2 linked regions of the Macaca fascicularis genome follow. The protein of the gene in region 2 purifies or fractionates together with the protein of the main gene of each other region. This does not show direct contact. Links are inferred from orthologs where the notes say so. Each region holds a gene or a part of one and is shown on either strand. Other genes may lie near its edges.

The links. Proteins that work in one complex are often made in the same cells at the same time.
Region 1: the proteins of FAM83D (region 2) and CSNK1A1 purify together in Homo sapiens (affinity purification with mass spectrometry; 8 studies listed by BioGRID and IntAct, counting the BioPlex papers as one, with this or other methods). This does not show direct contact. The link is inferred for Macaca fascicularis from reciprocal best matches to the Homo sapiens genes FAM83D and CSNK1A1.

Annotation. Positions count from the first base shown.
Region 1 is NC_088380.1:156,385,519-156,389,173, forward strand, and holds part of CSNK1A1 (casein kinase I), read right to left. Parts: intron 3,239-3,655; coding exon 3,132-3,238; intron 1,374-3,131; coding exon 1,225-1,373; coding exon of another isoform or gene 1,220-1,224; exon of another isoform or gene 1,112-1,219; intron 1-1,111.
Region 2 is NC_088384.1:95,076,645-95,080,399, reverse strand, and holds the end of FAM83D (protein FAM83D), read right to left. Parts: intron 1,892-3,755; coding exon 910-1,891; 3' UTR 136-909; downstream 1-135.

The sequences.
Region 1 (3,655 bases), on a different chromosome or scaffold from region 2:
CCCAAATACAGAAACATGGAATAGAAGTATCTCAACTTCATTCCTAACAGATGAGCTGCTGGGATGAGGATGACATGAGTTAATATTTCTTGAAAAGTATCTTCAGGTTAGAATCTATTTTTAAATTATAAAATAGTTTAAATACAACACTAAAAATGTGAAGCAAAGATTAATCTATAAAGGCCAAGTTCAGACTAGAGCAGTCATTCAGAAATTTAAAAATTAGAAACCAAGAGCCAAATCTTACTTGCCCACTACTTCCAGAAAGTAAGCAGGTATCAGGAGGTAAGCCCCAGAAATGGGAAAAAAAACACAAAACATGAAAATGGGAGTCAAACTGTATAGCAACAGTGTGCCCTAACAGTTCTACTCCTTACAGGCAGTAAGAGTGCCAGAGAAAGGAAGAAAGGAAATAGACTAGCGGTTTCAATGGCATTTGCCCCAGTTATCTTCAATTTGCAAGGCCTGACTGCAGACTTCAATTCCACATTAAACCCTGGGAGCCTGATATTTGCAACACTGTAAAAAATCAAGCCAAAAACAAAGGAATCGTTTTGAAATTAAGATCATATGTAGTTAAACTGCAAATGAAAGAATTATTTTGTGACTAGAAAAGATGTGCTGAGCTTTGCGTTTATTTGAGCATTGAAGAGAGAAAATGAGATGCTCTGCAACTGAGAAGATAGACACTTCGGGGGTCATGCCAGACTCACCTCTTGAAATTACGTCATGTTCACAATTTTCCATTTTAAATGCTAAAGCATTAACATGCAAAATAAAAAAATCTTAACATTGTTAGTCTGAAATAAAGTCAAAATATGGCTAACCAAATTCATTATTAGGAATCAACAAGTGTTAGGTCTAGGATTTTGGATTGATTGATTATATTATATTCCCAACACCAAATTTTTGGAAAGGGGGTTAATGAATGAGTAAAAAGGATGCAGTTGTTAAAAAATGACCCAAAATCCCAAGAGAAATGATATAAATATACACACATATATGTATATAGAAATACATATACATATATATGAACAAGGACATTTGGGTTTAAAGTTAGTAGTCAAATTTTCCAAGGACGTCTTTTTTTTTTTTTTAACACAGAGCCAAATTTTATGTATTTTAAAACCACCTCCTTGATCTAACACTGTTAAAAATGAATGAATTACCCAATTTTGTATTCAATTTTTTCCCTGTAACGTCACTTGGTTCTTGGCTACTAACCTTTCATGTTACTCTTGGTTTTGTCAGTTTGCTTGCCTGTGGGGGTTTGGGCCTGCTGACCCTGCCCACTGGAAGAGGCTGCCTGCTGTGCTGCTTTCTGCTTTAACATTGTCCAATCAAACGTGTAGTCATATTGATGGTTCAGGGTCCTGGAAAACATAAAATATTTTATGTTAATCCTTTAATAACAGAGTCCAGTTATATAACCTACTAACTTTTTTTTTTTTTGAGACGGAGTCTCGCTCTGTCCCCCAGGCTGGAGTGCAGTGGCGCGATCTCGGCTCACCGCAAGCTCTGCCTCCCGGGATCACGCCATTCTCCTACCTCAGCCTCCCGAGTAGCTGGGACCACAGGCAACCGCCACCATGCCTGGCTAATTTTTTTTTGTATTTTTAGTAGGGACAGGGTTTCACCATGTTAGCCAGGATGGTCTCGATCTCCTAAACTTATGATCCGTCTATCTCAGCCTCCCAAAGTGTTGGGATTACAGGCATGAGCCACAGCGCCCGGCTTTATAATCTACTAACTTTTTAAGACAGTGAGAGCATTTCTTCACACAATGAATATTTCCTCAAGTGTGGCAGCTTCTAAAATATTTCTCTTATGTATAAAAAAGGCAACATGAAAACTGAAACATCAAGTCAAGCTGTCAGTTATCTACGGGAATACTCGTAAGAGGAGGTACTTCCTAAAAACAAGTAAGAGTAAATATTCAACTGGAAGTTTGGTTATAAGATGTCTGACTGGTGCCTTGGGAAGACACTTTTCTGGGGTTAAAGGATTACCTCAATTCTCTCTCTCTTTTTCTTTTTTTTTTTTTTTTTTGAGACAAAGTTTTGCTCTTATTGCCCAGGCTGGAGTGCAGTGGTGCAATCTTGGCTCACTGCAACCTCCGTCTCCCAGGTTCAAGCAATTCTACTGCCTCAGCCTCCTGAGTAGGTGGGATTACAGGCGCCTGCCACCATACCCGGCTAATTTTTGTATTTGTAGCAGAGACGGGGTTTCACCATGTTGGTCAGGCTGTTCTCGAGCTCCTGGCCTCAGGTGATCCACCCCCATCAGCCTCCCAAAGTGCTGGGATTATAGGTGTGAGCCATTGTGTCTGGCAGATTACTTTTTGTTTTTCTCTCTTTTTTTTTTGAGACAGAGCCTCACTGTCACCCAGGTTGGAGTGCACTGGCGGGATCTCGGCTGAATGTAACCTCCACTTCCCAGGTTCAAGAGATTCTCCTGCCTCAGCCTCCCAAGTCGCTGGGATTAAAGGCGAGCACCACCTCACCTGGCTAATTTTTGTATTTTGATGGGGCTTCACCATGTTGGGCAGGGTGGTCTCGAACTCCGGACCTCAAGTGATCTGCCTGCCTTGGCCTCCCAAAGTGTTGGGATTACAGGCGTGAGCCACCGTACCTGGCTGGATTACCTCAATTCTTATTCTCTTCCAACTAAGAGTTTGAGCCACATGTAATCTATTTCCCCCCCGCTTTTTCAAGACCAGTTCTGGGTTGTGCCTAAGGAACCCTACCCGAGTTTAGGACTGCTACCACTTGATTAGACTCCATGACTATGTGATATTTTAATTGCTTTTCTATTTGGTACTGTAACAAAGTTGGAGAGTTCCAGAAGGCACTGACAGCCACTTATATCTAATATGAATTATAACTATTCTGGAAAAGTTACATTCTACTTTGAGTATGATTCAACTCTCTATCCACTCCAAACTAAAATCACCTATTTACACTGCAAATAGAAAAATGCCAAATTAGTCCCAAATAAATCAGTTTCTTAAATCTTTTATTCATGTTAGTCAGATCTGCTTTACTTTAGTATTTATCAGAATGAATTTGTTAGGTAAATTTAACCAATTTCCCTCACAGAGTTTATAATCTTAAAATACCTTAAAAACTGACCTGAAAAGAATGCGGAATAGCTGCCTCAGATACATGTAATCTGGGGCTTCCTCAAAGCGTAGCCCACGACAATAGTTTAAGTACATGGCAAATTCTGCAGGAAACCCCTATAAGTTCAAGGGTTAAAACAAAGTTAAAAACAAACATTTCAAGATAGAAAAATAAATGCATTTAAGTACAAGCAAAAAGATATTTTTGGGTGAGATATTTTACCATTTCACAGGAAGATATGAGAGCTAAAATGATGGCTTGGTCTCCTCATAAATTTAAATAAAATTTCATGACTCTACCTACCCTATTATGTACAATATTAGTAGAAGAAATACATATGCTTTTCCCATATGTGCTTGTCCTATACAGTACTATGTTCTTAAATAACTTACATAGCCCACTTGTTAAAATTTGTCATTTCATCAAAGCCCCGCCTCTTCATAAACTTTTTTTTTTTTTTTTTTAAAGACAGGGTCTCAATCTGTCTCCCAGGCTGGAGTGCAGTGGTGTAATCTCAGCTTACTGCAACCTCC
Region 2 (3,755 bases):
CCTATATACCTTTATCTATTAGATGCATTTATTTGTGACATATTCCCAGATTTAAAGAGAAAAGTGTCAGAGAAGGGGGAAAAAAGTACAAAAACACAAGTTTATATTTATTTAATGCTAAGAACACAGATATTCTAAAGAGATAAAAAGTAGTTTTATTTTTTCTAAATAGGATTTTGATTACAAAAATGCTGATAATTCAAACCTTTAAAGCGGAAAAGCATATAACCTGAGAAAAATGCAAAACATATTTCATCTCTCACCTGAGTTAGACTTAAACACCTAAGCATTCTCCTTAAGAGATTAATACAGTCACGTGTTGCCCAATGATAGGGATACATTCTGTGAAATGTGTTGTTAGGTGACTTCGTCCTTGTGCAAACAGCACAGAGTGTACTTACGGAACCCTAGATGGTATAACTACTACACACCTAGACTATATGGTATAGCCAGTTGCTCCTGGACTACAAACGTGTACATCATGTTACTGCACTGAATACTGTAGGCAACTGTAACATAATGGTATTTGTATCTAAACATAGAAAAGGTATAGTAAAAATACGGTATTATAATCTTACGGGACTGCCATCATATACGTGGTCTGTCATTGACCGAAACATCATTATGTAGTGCATGACTATTAAAATTGTGCAAAAAAAAAAAAAACAAGAAAAAAAAATAAACCTGTATCCATAGTGTTTAAACCGTAAAACCAATACCTGGTACATACATGACAAAAACAAAACAAAGCACGTAAAAGAATATGCAGCCTATAGAATTCAAAGACAACAAAGGTGACAAAGTCAGGTAAAAGAAAGGCAATTAGGGACGTAAGATATTTTTTAAAGCAGGAAGCTGATGATGTCCACTGTAAGCCTGGAAGAAACCAGGAGTCTGAATACGGAGTAGTTACTGATAGGAAGGATAAAGTGCTGCATCTCTAATAGCAAGCAAATTAACTCTGCTGAAATTGCCAGAATGAAGGCCAAAGTGGTTTTCAGTAAAGAGTGTTCTCCTTGACAGCATAGCCAGCATGTGGTTGAGCCGGGACCTGATACCAGCGAAGTGGAATTGCCGCTCTTTGTTCAAGTTTCTAAGTGAGTCACTCAAGTACAGTTCCATGTGGGGGGTGCCCAGGTACTTAGGATAGCCAGGATTGTGGAAGTCAGTGGCTCTGATGGAAGCAGGAGAGCCAGTGGAGCTTGCCACAGAGCCTTGGGAAGACACAGAGGAGGAAGACTTCAAACTGGAAGATCTTGATACAGACATTTTTGAGACTGGTGACCCTTCCGTAGATTGAGTTCCTTGAGGAAAGAGAATGTTCTCATCCATGTCAGTCTGAGTGGTGGTTGACCTGGACCAAACCATGGTTTGAGAGCTTGCTATCCTGGTGGTGACTGCAGTCTGGGTCCCAGCACACGCTGTGGTGATGCTGGTTTGTGTTCCCACCTCACTCACACTCAGCCTTGGCATCTCCTCTCCTGGCTCTGTTTGAGTGGCAGCGTCAATGGCCTTTCTGCTCTGGAGCTCGTCCCTGTGGCTGTTGAAGTAGTCTTCCTCACTAACAGTGGAGGACTCACAGTCATGGGGCTTGCGCTCTGCCTTGCCCTCTGCGGGCATCTCTGGGTCCAGGTCCGCCTTCCTGGGAGTACTGGAGAGCCTAGCCAGCCGCATCCGCAGCAGGTTGCCTAGGGTGAGCTCCTTAGACTGTGGTTTTCGGTCGGTGAGGTGATCAAACTTGTTGCTGCTCTGGAAGTGAGACAGGAGTTTGGGACTGATGGGCTTGGACTGGGCATACAGGATTCGGAACTCCAGATCAAAGTGTTCAACCACTTGGCCAGACAGAATTACCAAGTTACTGCTGTTTAATTTGCCATCTGTCCATGTAAAACTTAAGGATTAAAAAGAAACAAACAGCAGCTGGTAAGGATGAGCAATTTTGGTTTACTCACTGTCCATCTGAATAATATAGCACAGGTATCTTACCACATAAGGGTCACAACTTTGGTGATACAATACCTAACATTTGCATGCATTTAACTAGCCTTAACATATATATAACACATATGTGTGTTACCATAAAAGTAAAAAGGCCAGCTGTTTAACAAACACACTAAATGCTCAGCCTCAGAGGGTTTTTTTTGTTTTGTTTTGTTTTTTTTGAGATGGGGTCTTGCTATATTGCTCAGACTGGTCTTGAACTCCTGGGCTCAAGCAGTCCTCCCACCTCAGCCTTCCAAAGTGCTAGGATTACAGGCATGAGCCACCTCACCTGGTCCTTGCCTCAGAGTTTTTAAAAACTAGAAAGGGGGCCAGGCGCGGTGGCTCACGATTGTAATCCCAGCACTTTGAGAGGCCAAAGTGGGCAGATCCCTTGAGGTCAGAAGTTCAAGACCAACCTGGTCAACATGGGGAAACCCTGTCTCCAGTAAAAACACACAAAAAATTAGCCAGGCATGGTGGTGCATGCCTGTAATCCTAGCTACTCAGGAGGCTGAGGTAGGAGAATTGCTTGAACCCGGGAGGCAGAGGTTGCGGTGAGCCGAGGTCATGACACTGCACACTCTATGACAGAGTGAGACTCCGTCTCAAAAAATAAATAAATTAATTAATTAATTAAAAATAAAAAGTAGGGCTTGTAAGTATTTAGGCCAGCATCCCCATTGTAAGGTAAGAAAACTAGGCCAGCACCCCCATTTTAAAGGTACGGAAACCAGATAAAGGGATTATCACAGTGGGGAGCTACTAATGGACCCCATATCAGGCCCCAGGCCCTATGAATTGCTAATGCCCTGCTCCTTGCTACTGTTTGAGTGGTAACATGCCTTCCTGCCCTCAAGCTTGTCCTTGTGGCTGTTGAAGCAGTCTTCCTAACAGTGGAGGACCCACAGTCATGGGGCTATGCTGCCATTTTCACAAAACACCATGGCTCAAAACATGTTAGAGCTGATTAGTGGCCATGTGCCCTTGCCTGTCCAGTGTCCCTTCCCCGCCTCCCTTGTCTGCTAGCAGAACTCACACCCACCTGTACCCCAGAAAGCTTTCATTATCATACTCTCTCCAACCACAATAGGGGCAGGCATATGGTCCAGACTGGCCAGAGTATCCTATTCCCTCGGATGCAGGGATTCATTCAGGTTGGGCATGTAATCCCACCCGAGCCAAGTAATTTTTTAGAGATTTCTTTTTTCTTTGTCAAATGGATTCTGACAGAAGGGATTGATAGCAATTCTGAGTGAAAGTGTTTCACCCTTTGGGAGACAGCGACTAAAGACCATGTAAGAAAGCCAGGATCTGGCCGGGTGCGGTGGCTCACGCCTGTAATCCTAGCACTTTGGGAGGCCGAGGCAGGTGGATCATGAGGTCAGGAGATCGAGACCATCCTGGCTAACAGAGTGAAACCCCGTCTCTACTAAAAATACAAAAAAAAAAATTAGCTGGGTGTGGTGGCGGGCACCTGTAGTCCTAGCTACTCAGGAGGCTGAGGCAGGAGAATGGCGTGAACCCAGGAGGCGGAGCCGGCAGAGCACCGAGATCGCACAACTGCACTCCAGCCTGGGCAACAAAGCAAGACTCTGTCTCAAAAAAAAAAAAAAAAAAAAGAAAGCCAGGATTGTTGACTTTAAAGGGAGAGCCTACCTAAGAACAAAAATCAACTCGAAAACATCAGAATCAGGAGACAGTGTTCTGATCAGTGTGTGGGTCTTAGGTCAAGGTGAACTGAAAACCAACTGTAACTTCCTATGCTTCCTTCC